Caenorhabditis elegans: one gene and its partner. The protein of the gene in region 2 interacts with the protein of the main gene of each other region in a biochemical or structural test. Each region holds a gene or a part of one and is shown on either strand. Other genes may lie near its edges.

What was found.
Region 1: the proteins of nlp-2 (region 2) and gnrr-3 interact in a test that uses a peptide from one of them, tested with the Caenorhabditis elegans proteins (one large-scale study listed by BioGRID).

The regions. Positions count from the first base shown.
Region 1 is NC_003284.9:10,045,326-10,054,803, forward strand, and holds gnrr-3 (G-protein coupled receptors family 1 profile domain-containing protein), read left to right. Parts: upstream 1-4,134; coding exon 4,135-4,265; intron 4,266-4,664; coding exon 4,665-4,798; intron 4,799-4,839; coding exon 4,840-4,942; intron 4,943-4,991; coding exon 4,992-5,151; intron 5,152-5,206; coding exon 5,207-5,350; intron 5,351-6,035; coding exon 6,036-6,140; intron 6,141-6,190; coding exon 6,191-6,282; intron 6,283-6,334; coding exon 6,335-6,425; intron 6,426-6,928; coding exon 6,929-7,156; downstream 7,157-9,478. Other genes in the region: ZC374.2 (Fibronectin type-III domain-containing protein), read right to left, coding at 1,003-1,074, 1,429-1,556, 1,847-1,988; Cystathionine beta-synthase cbs-1, read left to right, coding at 8,979-9,019, 9,358-9,461.
Region 2 is NC_003284.9:2,341,381-2,348,671, forward strand, and holds nlp-2 (Neuropeptide-Like Protein), read right to left. Parts: upstream 3,387-7,291; 5' UTR 3,306-3,386; coding exon 3,216-3,305; intron 3,159-3,215; coding exon 2,977-3,158; intron 2,923-2,976; coding exon 2,679-2,922; 3' UTR 2,567-2,678; downstream 1-2,566. Other genes in the region: T01B6.1 (uncharacterized protein), read left to right, coding at 4,105-4,251, 5,477-5,599, 6,582-6,659, 6,905-6,990, 7,075-7,198; nlp-22 (Neuropeptide-Like Protein), read right to left, coding at 1-203, 601-684; nlp-23 (Neuropeptide-Like Protein), read right to left, coding at 1,078-1,416, 1,484-1,558.

The DNA of each region.
Region 1 (9,478 bases), 7.7 Mb from region 2:
GTCCAAATGAGCAACTTTATTTTAAAACTTTCATAATATATTTCATCAACTGTGAGTGTTTTTAAACGCCTGTAATTACCTATTTTTATACTTTTTGAATTAAAAAAAATTAACCTTAAATTTAGTTTTTCAACGTCTTATTATAGTTATCAAAATAAAAAAATCAAAATAAATAAAAAATTATGTTGAACTACGTCAACAGCCTTCTCATTTCCTTTTTTCGTTCCACTCTAATGAATTTTTGACAATGTCTGTAAGACTGATATGATCCTTAATTTTTCTGAGAATAGCTTTTAGTTCTATTCATTGAACTTTGCGTGTACATTTTCTTTTTTTCTGCTATTTCTTTTTCTCAAATCACATTGTTTTCATTAGTTTTTAAAACACATTTTAGTTTTTGGTTACTTTCCTAGAGGATATTTTGTTTTCTGCCTTCAAAGTTTTCTCTATATTTTCTTTTGAAATTGATAGTTTATTTGTTCGTTGACAAAACGTTCCTAAAAAGACGAGAACGACTTTAAATGAATGTAGTACCTTACAAATTGCAGAACTATTTATTAGAATACTCCAAATTCTTGGCTTTTCTTTTTTTGGGTATATTTGTCTCGATACATATTTCCCTCTGTTTTTTGGCATATTGGTGAGTCTTGGTTTTATCTTGAACCAAAAATCTATTAGACTATAAATTTAAAGCTTTTCAATTTTATTCTATCAATATAGTTTATATCGGTTCTTAAGGGAAGTCAGCATCCTGTTGACGTTCAGTATTCTGACAAAGTTTTATTTAAGGAAATGCGTTTGGGAGCTCAAAAAAAAGGGAAACTGACTTTTTCGTCGGACTCTGAAAAACAGAAAAACGGAAATTCAAATCAAGAAAAATATTTTTTGTTTATTTTTTAAGTTGTTATCTTTTACAAATTTTCTGGGCCACATTTCGTCATATTTTATGTTTCCTATTTTTCAAATTAATTTTCCACTTATTCTTTATTTCATATGACTGACCTTTTTGGCGACGTCTACAACAATTTCAGTAGTCCAGTCCTCCACTATTTGAGCTCCTCTCTCTGTTTTTATCTGAAATTTAAATTAGCTGTGGGCGTGTGTCTGAAGGTAGTTCAATTGTCTGTCAGGGAAAAAAATAAAGAAATGTATTGAAGAAATATTTGTCAGTGAGTCAATCGGGTATACAAATAATGAATTATCGAAATTATAATCAAGAAAAAAACAAATGAAATCATACCTCGCACACCTGTCTATATTTAGATTTTAGTGAAATTAGGTCAAACTGTTAAAAGCGGCGGTGATTTTTCATTTTTTCGGAAGGCGGAAAATTTTGCATGATTTCATACATTTTCCTTACATTTTGGCACATTGAATTACATTTTTATTTTTAAGTGGATATCATATTTTTTCCAAAATTAAATCTACCTGAATGTGAACACTATCGCCGTCATTGTAGATTCCCAAAGGGATTCGAACACTTGATTCTCCAGTTTTTACATATTTCCAAGCCGCTTGTTCTGATTCAGATTTATGGCGAACTGTGTACATTGTATCTGAAAACTAGGTTTTGTTTGTTTGTTCTCACAAAAATGCTGAATTGTTCAAATTTTATCAGTTATTTTATCGGAAGTGATAAGAAAATTTGAAAAGAAAAAATCAATGCTTTGGAGATTCATTTCATTGACAAGCTTAACTCGGAACGCTTAAATTATCATATCTAAAGATATTGTACATACTTACTCAACTTCTGAAAAAACTGCCTCCACTTTCCACATTAGGGAAGCAATTGAAGAAAGGTTTCTAAAGTCTTATGTCCTAACTTATTGCAAAAAATTGTTCTTACTTTGTGATTGCGATCCTGATTGCCATTCCACGTAGATAATATCTAATTCTGGCACAATTCGTGCTTTCGGCTCTCGAACCACCGAGATTGGCTGAGATACTGTGAGGTACAAAAATAGAAGTGGTAAAAGTATAGGTTTCATGGTGGAAACACGCAGTTTGAGCGGCAGGGGTAAGAAGAAGCGAAGGTAGTAATGAAAGTGCGACGACAAGGGCAAACACGAGCCGCCCTGGTCAGCGGTATCTCGAAATGATACATTGCAATACGCAACTGGCCATTCAAAATGTAATATCTGAGAGTTTGTGAAGGATAAGTGTCACTCTTCGGACACAAATTACAGCGGATTTCAAACTTTAAACCAGGAGTGAAAGAGAATAGGATTGTTGGAAACGGTTGATTTTGAATTTGTGATTAGATGATTCGCTTATCTCCGAAGTTTGAGTTTTAAACTCCAAGCTCAATGAATTAAGAAAAAGGTTCGGATGGTTGACCGAACATCAAATTGTGAAGAAAGGGGTAAAGGTCAAAAGTTAGAAAGTTGAACTCTAGTGGTTTAAAATATTAAATCAAAAGGAAGAGAACAATGGGTTAGGGTTCTCGGTTGAAATGGAACACACATTTTCTTTGGTTACATCTATATCTGTATTCAACAATCTCTGGTACATGTGTTTTTTGTCGTGCATTTTAGTATGAAATATCAATCGAAATGAACAAAATTTGACAAATGAATGAAAATATAACTGCGAAGGCCGGTCGGCGTGAGGCCGGCGTGAGGCGCCGCCGCCGCGCCGCTCTCACATGGAAGCCCTACTTTATTCACTTCGATCTTTTTATAGTGTTTTAAATACTTTCCAATTTGAGAAACACGGAACATTTCTGAGAAAATCGTAAATCTTATGAGTTTTCTGGGTGGATTACTTATTGGAAACCAAGACTGCCAAATGGGTTTTTGAATGTTCTCAAAAACTGTCGGTTTTTGCCATTAGGATTAAAAGCGGGAGAAACGAGCTCTCAGAACTTATACGTTTCTCTAGTTTCTTTTTCCGTTCCACTTACTCGTACTCATAAATATGATGTAGTTTTCAAATGGTTTCTAGAACCAAATACATCACGAAAATGTATATTTCTAATTTCCTACAATGCGATGTTGCGGGTCGTTGTTTTTTCATAAGAGAGATTTCATTCAGTTCGTTAGTAGTTCCACTTTTAATTTGATACTTTGTTTGTAATGTAATTTTTAACGATGATCAAGTTTTTTTCAACGATCATTAATATGTTTGTAATCACAACATTACACATTTCCGAATACTGTGCTAGCAATTAATAGATGCACAAATGGTTTTTGCTGTGAAAAAATTCTGTCCAATAGGATTTGTTTCAAGTTTTTTTTTTTAACTTTGATTATTGTTAACCATTTTACTTTGATTCCTGCAGTTGCTAATTCTCCAAATAGATTTTATGTCGGTTTTATTGAAAATTTAAGAAGTAATAATAATAATAAATATTATATTTTTAAATTACCGTTGTCGGTACTTGTTGAGATAACCAATACTGTAAAATTATGAATGCGATGGCAAATTGAATAAGCATTTTTGCATCTGGACATTTAAATACTGCATTTTGTTGGTTTTTTTTAAACATTTGCATGACTGAGTCTCAGCAAGATCTTTCAAATGTTTTTCCTTTGGTATTTTCCAAAGCAACTTTCAAACATTTCTAATTTTTTGAAAAACTATATTTTTTCTCAGTTGTGATTTCACCACAGGTTCAAAAGTTTACATCAGACTGGAAAGCTCCAAATATTGTTGTTTATAAAGAAAAATACTTTTCATCGACGATAATTGCAGTTTTCACGCCAATATTGCTATGTCTGCCTAAAGCTAACATATTTGTAAAGCAAAACTACGCCGGTTGATTCTGACAATCCTTTGGATTCAAATAGTTTCTGGAGTTATTCTCTTGTTTTCACACTTTTCTATGTTTTTCGTTTAACACTCCAGCCACCGTATCATTTAGCAGTAGTAACATCTGTCATGGCATCGTATTATTTACCAGCTCGATGAATACTACATATTTCTTCGCAAAAATGAAAAAAAAAAACGCAATTTTGTATGCCGAAAGTGGTAGTTTGTATAATCAAGCCCCTCCTATCTCGGTTTTCGTTTTACCACATCTCACTCATTTCTCATTTCCGGACAGTCACCAGCAAAGACACCTCACTTCTTTTTGCTAGTTTTTTTTCATTACTTACACTATACTACAATTCCAATTGTGAAACTTTTCAGAAAATGAACAACTCAACATCGGATACGTTTGTCATGATGCATTCGACTTCAGAAGTTATCGAAATGTTTTACCAGCTTGCATTTTTCATAATTGGTACTCCAATCAATATTTTTGCTTTTGTCAAAACAAGTCGGTAAGTGTTGCTAGAGCTAATACTCTTCTAACACTATAAAAGTAATAATAGCTAATTTCACATTTTGCAAATGGTTTGTCAGTTAAACTAATCTTATGTTAGTTCTGCATGCAAGACTAATTTTTATTAGTCTTAAGCACTGCAATATTAATAGAGAGAGCTGCAAGGCTATTTTCCAAGAAACCGGGGGGTTTTAAGTAATTGCAGATCCTTTTTGCATACTCGACTATCCGTGATTTAAAATTCGAACGATAAACAGTTTACTGAAGTACCTGCATAACCTAAGCCGCGCATATAATTTATTCACGTGCCAAACTATTACAAAACTGATTAAAAATTACAGTCATCGTTTTGATGTTTATTTTTTGTTCATGTTTCTAATTTTATTTGTATATTCAGAAATGTTCGAGAAGGAGGCGTGGAGTCCAGACTGGTCAAGCTTAGTCGACAGCTACTTATTGCCCACATAATGGTTCTTTTTATGTACGGGATCTGGAGAAGTTATTGGATATATAATATCGTCTGGACTCAAGGTGTAGATAATCATTTGAATAATAATTTTATTGTTTTTTAGGAGACATTATGTGTCGAGTATTCAGTTTTCTTTGTGCTCTGCCTTTTCATCTTTGGTCGAACATGGTAGCAGCTATTGCAATTGACATGCTTTGCTGTATTACGTAAGTACTCTATATCGGAATCACTGACTTATATAGTTTTTTTTTTCAGATCTCCACTGAGCAGCTATCGAACAGGGGCAAACCGAGTTAATTGGCTTATTACTCTTGCGTGGGGCTTTGCAGTTGTATGTGCATCACCAATGAGCATTCTGCGTGGAACCATTCAGATCAACGATGAAGATATGTATCAATGCTACCCAAGAACTGATGTATGTCAATTTCCTGTAATATCTAAACGAATTCTGTTAACATATAACGTTTCAGGTATTCAATGATGATGTGTTAATTGCATTCAACCTGTTTCATGTCATAACTTCGTTTTACATTCCATTGTTGATTGTTATCATATGCTATTTGGCTATCGGGGTATCGATACGGAAACAAATGGCGGAACGTCGTTTATTACAGGTATAATGCAATTTTGAAAATCTAACTTTTCAAGTGGAGGAGCCTAAGTTACGGAAATGTTGAAAACTAAGGATACATTCTCGATGAAATTCTGAGAAGCCAAAATTGTTCTACTTTTTTACTTCACCAAAACTTTCAGTGAAAAAATTCAACTTTTTTAACATTTTCTGGCTTATAAATTTTATAAATTTTAAAAATGGAAGCTGAACTCTTAAGTGCTTTAAAAAATGTGGAAACGTAACTCATGAGTGACTAACTTGTTATAGACAGTCTTATTTTTTTCCAGTGATCTTATGATCTGTATGATCTAAATATATCTGAAAACAGAAATTCATTTTTGGGTATAGAATGACTATTAATAACATTTTTGATTTGGTTACTGGAATAACACATCAATTGTATCCTTGAGAAAAGAAAAAAAATTTAACAAACAATTATCTGCTTGAAATCATCACACCTGGTATTTTCTAATGACAAAATAGTTATTTTATTCGGTGTAAGCAGATTAAAGCAAACAAATATGTATCACTGATGATTTTTTGTTGTGAAATTATGCAAAAACAGTTACACTAAAAACCAACAAATAATCAAATTAAAAATTGGAAAAATAAATTCATACAATTAACTTCATTTATTTTTCCAATTCGATACACGTAACAATTAAAAAACATAAACATATTTGTAGGACGGAGGACAAAGTGGACAAAAAACGAACAACACGAAAGCAAGATTTCTCAGAGCTTCTGTGGCAATTATTTGTACGTTCCTGTTCACATGGCTTCCATATCAAGTAGGCAAACTTGAAGTATCGTTTCAGTTATAGATACCGTGAATTTTAAGGTTTTGGCTCTTCTTCGAATTGTCTGTGTTTCTGAAAATTGCCAGGAAATTGTGAGCAAACTGAATTGGTTACAGGCAATTATTATAGCAAGGTATTCAGGAAAAAACATTCATTAATAGTTTTCCCTAATTGTTCTTATTTAGCACGTGCATCAATCCATTCCTATATCGTTTTGGCACTGAGCCAAAAAGAAACTCGTATTACTGCAGTACTATGGACACTGCTGGTAAGGAGGTATGCATGACGGTCAAGTGTTTTTCTTCTCTTTACCTCCGACACTCTCTCACTTCAAAAGCCCTTATCTAATCACGTGGTTAATTTCAACTCCCCTTCTGGAAACCGGTTATTTTCTATAACAAAATTTATCAAACTGCACGTATTTACGTCTTTTATCATTTGAGATAGAGTTCATGATATTCTCAAATTGATCAACCAATTTATGATGAGATGGCGTCAGTTGTCGAAATGGCGTCATACAAAAAGAGACTAGAAACACAGCTTATTAATTTGTGAACGTTCACATTTCAATTAAAGTGACCTTCTTCTCCTAAAAAATTTTTTTAGATTAAGTTTGCAGTAAATCCCCGCAGGTGGTGTGATTTTAGAACTAGACATTGTTAATTACACTATCACACCGTCTATCTTCTAATCACATTTCTCTTTTTCTTGCAACAACGACCTGTTCCACCACCACCTAGAACTACATTTTTCGCATCTTGATCAGCATCACTTTGCAGGAAGTCGGTCTATCCGCCGATCGACGACGGTCCGGGAAGCCGAGGCCCAGCGGATTGTTGCCGCAGCAAATCGCGCACACCGAGAACAAAACTCCTCCCAAGTGTCGCCTCGAGGTACACGCGCCACGGTTCGAGAACAGACGCGCGTCGCAAATCGACTCAAAAACACCAAAAGTAATGAGGTTTAGATGCACCGGATCACTTGACGGAAAAGCTGGCAGATGCTGAGGAATGACCATCAATTTGAAATATTTCGTGTATATTTTTATGTAACAAACTGGAACTTCTGATCGTTGAAAAACTTTTGTCGAACCAACAATGCGAAGATGTACATTATGTGATGTAGCACATTCCTCTGTTTTCAAGAATAATCCCTTCTGAGAAAAATTAATTTATGGTAATAAAACTGAGTGTGCTCTTTTGAAAGTGTTGTTGCATTTTTTGGGAGAAAGTTATGGATGTTAAAAAAAAAACAATTCCTATTCGTAAAATATCTTCTCGTGAAAATTTTTGGAATCTGGCCCAAATGCATGGTAGTACACTTTGCATATTGAAGCCATATAAAATTCATCTTTCAAACTAAAAACTTTCGGAAAAACGGTGAATCTCAAGGAAATAAATATTTTATTTGTTCCCGAGAAAACTATAAAATCTTACAGATCAAATGAAATTTTTTGATCATTTTCTGTTCCGGTTTGTTTCTTTTTTGCAATCCCCTTCTTTTGTTGTTTGACCTGTGTTTTCCCAAATTCCCATCCAGACACCACACTACATACAAATAACTGCAATAAATCTTGCCACAGCACTATAATCTAATTGCTCGTTGTTGCAGTAGTAATATACCTGTCTAGAGGTTACTCTTCTTTCCAACACCTGTCCTTGCCTTTTTATTGTACACTCTGCTCTCTGTCTGCACTCCCATTCTTTTTCGTTCATCTCTCCCTGGCTCTTTTTTTTTCTCATCATTTCATTTTTGTCTGGGTTGTTTAGGAAATGATACACGCATAACCCTTGTCAGATCTTGAATCATCGTGATCTCTTCATTTTTTTTCTTCATGAATCGTGTTGTTTCTATCACCTTATGCCAACAATTATTGTATCTACAATTATAGTTTCAATAAAACTATCAACATTCATAGCAGTGATTGTTTCTAAAATTGTGTGACAGAAAATAGTCGAAAAGTGTTTTCTATTAATTATTCTCACAAACCCACACAAGTGACAAAAAACGTATAGAACATGTGCTTTAAAAATCATTATGATTTATAGATTTTGATCACCTTCATTTTTTCCAATATTCTTCCATCCATTGGAATATTCTTCTACATCAATGAAACAATATGAGAAAAAACCCAATTAGTTTTTAGTTGTATTTTCAAAGACACGCACAGAAAAAACACACAGAAAGTGTCAAATTCTTTGCTGTTATTTTTCTGAAATGTCATGTTATTTTTCCTAACCTATGTTTAGGTCACCTCATCTGTTGCCTACACCAGAGATCTAATATACTTTGCCCGAAGCGAAATGTATTTAATGATACCAATAATAAAAGATACTAAGTACACTTTATTATTCACCTCGTCCCTCGCAGTTAGTTCTGGCAAGATAATATAGATAATATTGTCGTAAAATTTTTTATCAATTTTTGTGATATTGATATTTCATTTTGTCACTCTCCCACTTGTCTTCAAAATTCCATTTCAACGAAATCTATTTTGAAAAAATAAAGCATCGTATAAAAGAGGTTTTTGATTCTTTGACCTTCACAATCGATCATCTCCCAAAAAGATAAACCACGACAAAGTGCCCAGTATTTGCTAGAAGAATCAATTTAGACCCGACTCCTCCCATCTTTTTTCTCGTGTCTCTGACCCTCATCTAGATGCCTATCAGTCTATAGTTTTCATTATCCACGGCATTGTGTGGCAATAAGAATAGTTAAAAGTCAACTTCATACCCTTTGTAACATTTTGTTTCAATTTTTTTTCAATCGATAAATGTCGTTTTCAACTTAATATTGATTTCAGGTAGCTATTAATCAGGTGTGAAAATGATCCAAAACGAAGTTTCCGCTACACATGGATCAACTAAGTAAGTTTTTTTTCAAAAAACACGCACTCTACTAAAAAAAATTTTTTGAATCAGGTTATAAAACAAAAATAACACATAGTTAAAACACAGTTTTTCTGGCTTCAAAACGAATAGTGCTGATGCAATCTTATTTGAAAACTGTAAATAAATGAGGCAGAATGAATTCAATACCATAAAGTTTGAAATTTAAGGTATTTTTTCTTCTCTCGAAAAGAAAATTGTAAGAAAAAAAGAAGCACGTGTAGATAAAAAATTCGTCTAATCTGCTTGAAATCAAAATTTTCTATAGATAAGATAAGATAAGACATTTCAACAGTCTAGCAAATTCACTTTTGCAGGAAAGGAATCACCTATAACACAATCTTAGAAGCCGCTCAACGTCCAACTCCACTTGTCCCACTCAAAAAACTGAAGGTTGAACATCAACTTCAGAGTGATATTTGTGAGTTTTGGTGACAA
Region 2 (7,291 bases):
GTTAGTTCGTCCGTTGTTCGTTTCCCTGGACGGAATCCGGCTCGCCCAATCGCAATCGACTTTTTCATGATTGGAAGGGTTCGGAGTCTCCAATAGCGCAAGCGCCCCTCACGAGTGTTGCGCAGGTAGTTTGCTCGGTGAAGGATCTGATTGAAATCGACTTGATCGACAACTCCTAATCCGCGGAAGACATCGATTCCACCCTGAAATTACGGTGCTTGTTGCCATTTGAAGGAACTCGATTTTGGGAATTTTTGAACTTATACTTTCAAAATATCCTCAAATGAATGAATTTTTTAATAAACTTTCGCGAAAGTTTTTCAATATTTTTTTGTGGCGGTTCAAAATTTTCGCATAAAAATGGCCTAATTCGGACGGAAATTGAAATTTTGTAACCTATTGGTTGCCTATCCGCTTGAAATTTTAAACTTAAAAAAACGATGTAAATGTGCAAATTGAGTCAATAATAAAAAAAAAAAATTTTTGGGGATTTAAGGCTAATTTACAAACAAACACATCTAGGTCTTTTTTCGAAAATTTGAACCGTCGTAAACACAATTTGATCGGTACCCTTTTCCTTTAACATTGTGTAAAGCTAACCTGAAGCCCAAGAGCTGAGGTCTGGACCAGAAGAATGTCCAACGCGAAGATCGTCAATCCGATGAAGACGATTATGGAACGCATTTCCGAGTTGGGAAAGTTCGAGAATAAAAAAGAATAAAAAACGGGGGTATAGTGAGCACAACTCGATCGGCCAGAATTTATATGCTTTTTGCTCTGTTACATCTAAGGCGGAGCAAAACGGTTAAACGACCGGAACCGGTGAATGTTTTTTTTGGAAAACGTTGCTCTCGGTTTTGTGAACTCATAAAGTAACATGCGAAAAATTGCACAAAAACTACTGCTTTACACCCACAATGATTTGTTCTCTGGAAACGTGGGTTTCAAATTAGAATGATAAAAGTTCCTTATTCTAGTGATCAGTGATGATTACTCATGTCTTTGCTATCATTTCATACAGATACTTTATTTGATTCACAAGTAAAAATTAATGTTTGTAGAAATTCCAAAAATTATTTACTCCGAGAAATCATTGCGGTAAAGAGGATAATAGCTCTCTGCAAATGGCATTGATCGCTTTCCGCGGTTCCATCCAGCTGCAAATGCACGCTTCCCTGGGCGCATTCCAGCTCTGCCAATTGCCATTGATCGCTTTGCTGGCCGGAATCCTTGACGACTGATATAAAGACGCTTCTCCATAGTTAGTGGCTCCGGTTCTTCATCGGCATAGATCTCATCTTCGTCGTTTGGGATAACAATCATAGGGGTCGCCAAGTCGACAGCATCATCTTGGTCTAGGTCATTAGAATCTAAAAGTTGGGATTCGTAGGAATCATCTTTAGACGTTGGATGTTCCTGAAATGTTCATTTGCTACAATTACATAAAATGATAAAATAAGTAGCTCAGTTCATATGAGCTCACCGAGTAAAAACCCAGCTCCAAAGCATGAGCTGAGACTCCAAGAAGTGCCATCCAAATGACGAGGTGAGCTGCCATTGACTTTGAAAGTGATATCAGGTGGGACTGAGGACATCCTTCTGCTCGTCTTTCTTTTTATAGCACCTATTAAGAAAACGTGGTCTTGTAGTCCGGAAAACTGACACTACGATATTTTGGAGGATCGGATTTTTACGAGTTTTTTAACGATTTCGTAAAGGGACTACACTTCTACAATAGAATACAACGACTATAGGTGTATCTAGGAACTAAAAACAATTTTTTTTGAGAAGTTTAGAAATTTGCTCATCTGAGCACATTTTGGGTACATACATTCAAAATTCCAATACCTCCTCATCAGTGATAAAAAGGTCAAATGCGGAAAAGCCTGGAAGAACTGCGGAAAAATTGCCACAGATTTGGGTTTTATAGGCGGCTAATTATAATTTAATTTTGGAATTGGACAATCTGATTTCCCTTCAAAATATTTTTTTTCTTAACAATTTACTGACGACGAGCTGAAGATGATACTATCCCACGTCACTGATGTTTTTCCAACTAGAAAAAAAAACGTTTCCATAATGAGCTGAACATCGATCAAAACAACAGGGTACCCCTCTGAGAATTTTTTAATTCAGCTTACACAAAAAAAAATTGCGAACCGGCATACATTTAGTACAGTTTTGAATAACAGTAGGCAGTGAGTTTTTGCATTTTTTGAATTTTTGAAAATTTTTGAAAAAAAAAAGGTTTCAATATTGTCAGTGCGATTACATATAGAATTTATTCAATTGTATGGAGACAATTTTTTGGAAGGCTAAAAGAAAAAGAGCAAATTTTAATCGGACCCATACGTGCCTTCAAACTTGGCACACTGGTAGTGGACACATGGCTCAACAAATTGATTTCAACAAAATTTTTTGAACTGACCTACATGTTATATTAGTAAATCTGACTTTATATTGCATAAAATCCCCGATCAAAATAGTTTGTGATTCATATTCACCCTGTCTGAAACTTCTTTCCGAACCATTACTCTCTGAAACTGGGCTCTAAAAAACTCTAAAAAACAGAACACGATTTCATTCCGGTAATCTGGCTGTGTTTGTACATAAAGTATCAGTGATGATGACGGTGAATATTACAAAGAGATCGATTCAAATTAGTCGGAGCAGGTTCTCTAGATTATATAGATTTCTGGAACGTGTTGTGGGAAGACCTCCTTCATGTCATTGCTTCTCTTTCCTGGCCGGAATCCTTGACGACCGTAGGCCATTGAGCGCTTTCCTGGCCGGAATCCTTGCCGTCCATATGCCATGGATCTCTTTCCCGGCCGGAATCCTTGTCTGCCGTAGGCCATTGAACGCTTGCCCGGACGCAGTCCCAATCTTCCCATTGCCATTGATCGTTTCATGATGAGATCACTGGAAAATCAGCAGGTTTTGTTTTGCACAAGCCAAACGAGGCTTCAAAGTTACCTAACATCCACAGTGTGAAAGTTGTCCATGCTCCGTTTTCCAGGGCGGAATCCGCTTCGTCCGAGAGCAATGCTTCGTTTGCCCATTGCTCCTTCAGTGAACTCTTCCTCTTGTTTCCATTCATCTTCATCTTCAGAGTCGTACAGTTCGGGAGAGTTCTCAAGGACAACCACATCGACAGCCTGAAAAACTTTCAAAGTAGAAACCAGTACAGATGCTACTGGCAAAGATCCACTAACCGATGATTCGTCAGGACGATAGACCTGAAGCGGAACTGCTTCAGAATAAACTGCGCAGAGCAAAGCAAAAAGCACGAGGGTTGCTCGCATTTCTCGCGTTGTTGGGAGCTGAGCGAGAATAAGTGAAACCGAAGAAAGAGCTCGGGAGAGAGAGAGAGAGCTGAAAACAATGAAGATTACAGTAGATGCTTATCCAAATTTATACGGCTTTCATAATATATACGGGGCGGAGTTATAACAATATAAAGTACCAGTGGGAATATTGATAACGAGAATGCGGCAAGACGCGAATCAGGCGAAATGGGGGGAGAGAATGGGAAGAAAAACTGAGGTGTATCGAGCCGAGCGGGTGGGCGAGTTGCGTGATTGGTTCTGTATTCAAAATGACGTTGGTCAGAAATTGGAAGAGATGGGGAAAATGGTCACAATTTTTGAATAGTGCTCATAGTGCGGAACCGATTTGATTCAAGGTAACAGCTATGAAACTGCAGAGCAAACAGAAATTAGAAGCATAGTACAAATCTGTACAGTATTGGAAGTCTGCTATTCGAAATGTTGCCCAGAAAACTATATACGGTTTGTATACTTTATGTCTTAAATACGTATTAAGTTTTTATTAAGAAGCACTGACAAAATTGGTGTTTTGACAAATCGGAAGTAGTAGGTATCCAGTTATTAGTATAGTAGACAATAGTAGTGACAGCCAGTGATCTACTCATTATAAGATTAGTTCTCCTGGGATAGTCGTACAAGTTCGGCTTGGAAGACAGCCCGGTACGGAGTAGCATAACATGTTTTTCTCATTCGATCCACTACCTAGTTTTTGGTCGGCACTTTATTTTTCGGTTAATTTTTGGGACTTATTTCCAAATTGAAAGATTTTTTTCAGGCACGATTGGAATATTTTCAAGGAGAAGAGAGTGAAATGTTGAAACGTGGCCAAGATCAAGCGACAAAACTTCTGGAATGGTACAAAGAACGTCTGCTTTCGGTTCAGAAAAAAGCGAGGCTCTTGAAACAAGGGAGTGTCTCACTGGTAAGCGTTAAAAAAGTACAGGTCTGGAATAGTATTAGGAGCCGGGTCAAAATTCATTACAAAATTGTGGGAATCATGTCATTTAAGATTTTTCTTTTGACGGTACTTTCCATTATCTGTCACCACTTGAAGTATCCGTAGACTAAAAAAAGTTTCTCCGAGTATGGATACTTTTTATGGAAAAAAGTTTTGGAGAGAACCGTTAAATGTCCTGGTTCTTAAAATATTTTCCCTGTGTCAAAAAATTCATACTCAGCAAAAAAAAATTCAATTTTGACCAGGAACAGGAACTTGCACTGCTCAGGTCCTGTCATTAATTGCAGTTCTCCTAGACAGTCAGTTTCAGTAAACAGTTGTTGATAAATTTCGAACCCAAGTGTGTCAGTGATGTCACGTGATTTCATTATGATTTCATAGAATCTTCTGTTTCAATTAGATCATAGTAATTCTTAGAGCTCGTTATGTTTCTCGGAGCTCTAGAGAAAAAGCAATAAATTCAATGGTACCACGCATGACTTTATGGGCTACAGTATACTGCAAGAACTGACAATTTATCCAATTATTTAGAATGAGCCTATTTTAAGAGGGCAGGCTTTTTTTTGCAAAATTGTGTGGGTAGGCAGATTGGATCAGTTCCTGGTTCATACTGAAAAATTTGATCAAAGAAAATGAAAATGCTGAGCTGGAAGTTGTATTGGGGGGGGGGGGGTGTATGATATTACAGGAAAATATGACACAACTTAAATTATTTAAAAACTTGAAGGAGAAACGGTTATGGGTATTCTAAACTATTAATTTTTGCCTAATTTTTGCTAAAATCTCCAATTTTTCAAGTTTTTTTTTTGAAATTTTGAATCGGCATAAAGATGTTTTGAATAATTGTTGAGAATTTTCATTACAAAATTTGTTTATTTGAGCACATTTAGGGTTTTTTACGTTCAAAATACCCAGAACCGTTACTCCTCATTTGAAAAGATACTTATAAAAAAAATACTATAAAAAAGAATTTAGAAAGTGGAATAGGTCCATCAAACTACTACTCTGTCAAAACTGGTTTATAAGGACTTGGAAGCTACAAATATTTGTTTTTGTTCAAAATCACGTTGTCATCTTTGAACAATATAGTACGTGTCATGAGTAGGAGTACTTAAGGGCTCATAGATACAATCAAGTACTACAAAATCGTAAAATGGTCAGAATAACAAGTACGTGTGCATTTTTTCAGGATCCCGCTGTACATGAGCAGAAGCTCAACTTTCTCCGAGCCCACATCACAGAGCTCAACCGTCGTATTTTGGCAGTGATGGAGACTAGTGATAAAGGATTCCCGACGCACCATAACAGAACGGTAGGGATTACAATTCTCCATCCGACGCCAGCGCAGTTCTGACTACAAAACATACCGAAATTGAACAAAAAAAAACGTTTTATATCATGCGCTTTATACAATTTTTGCCCTATACAGCTACGTTATTTGTACATGACAAGTGAATCTCGTGACAGCCTTGTGCATTTTAGTTGACAGCGTAAGTTTTATGGAGTTAGGAGAAAAGCTTGAACCATTGGCTGCATGGGATGGGGACTCTGTAACATACTACAGATTAATTTCTGAACGATAATGCTTTTCCTTTTTTTTAATATGACAATCCTAGTGAATCCGCAGCGCAAAAATGACACCTGGAAATTTTTTTTTTGAATCCAGAGATTTTCCAAAATTAATGTATTCATTAGAGAATAAGCTTTAAAAATATATTTATACATTCCACACGCCCAACAAAAATCAATTTCCTTATTTCATATGAAAGAGTAAAATTTTGATAAGTCCGTTGTGAGTCACTGACATTTAAACCAGAAAAATATTTTGCTTACGGGTTATCAGATACAAATAATTGTTGTCTGATTGCTTTTCATGAAGTCATTCGGGTACATGACAAATGTTGTGTTTCTAGAAATTATTCATCAGATGACAAAAGTGTTAATATCGGAGATCTTGTGAAGTTTTTTTTTCCAACAAATAAGTCTGAAACTGTTTTTAAAAAACTTTTAAAAATTTGTGTTCAGGAAGAGTACATCTGTAAGAGCTTATAGGTGGTGTTGCGCCAGCGGGAAAGTTGTTAGACGCCACTTTTATGATGCAAAATAGTATAATGAATCTTTGGAAAATATTTTCAATTTTAGCCAAAAATACAAATTTCCTACAATTTCCGCAAATCGACCATTTGCCGATTTGCCGAATTTGTACCAACATTGCCACCCACCCCTGCTTTGAAACAATTTCCCCACTCGACTGTTTTTTTCCTTTTCCAATCAACATACCGAGTATTTTACAGGCTTCAAATGGCCCGTCTACAGGTGCTAACGATGACCAGCTTGTGTGGCTCCATCGTCAAAATCAGCGATTGAATCAGGTGAGCATATCCAACATGTGACGTCACGGCTCACAATTCTCTTTGTCTTTTCATCTCTTTCTATTGTTATCTTTCCCGAAACTTAAAAATAAACACTGACAGGAGGTCAAGTGTGGACAGAGTGCAGAAACAATTTATCAGGTGTTGGCAGAGATGTAGATCCAACAATGCCAACACATCAGAATGATGAATTAATGTTGTTTTATCGCTATCATATCTTCATTTCTATTCGATTTATATTTCAGGAGCTGGCGGAAAAGTCGAGAATGATAGATCAGCTGAAAAAAGAAAATGAGATGGTTAAAAAGAGTCAAGTACAAAGAGTAGAAAGGTTAGTATTTTTTTTGAAAGAACCTATGTACAGAGTTTTTAACTACTAGTTACTAGTAAGTATCAGTTAATTCTTAACTTTCAGAAATGTTCCAATCCAACGACCTTCTGCGTTTGTGAGGCCTGCTTATCAAATCCCCACAATCATCAATAACAACAATTATCCGAAAAACCCATCACCGCATAAGATTTATGATACTTTGATGTAACTTTTCTTGATTTCGCACTCTCAAAGAAAAAAACCCCTTCAACTTCTAATTGCAATTATAGCCCCCCCCCCCCCCCCCCCCCCACACTGATAT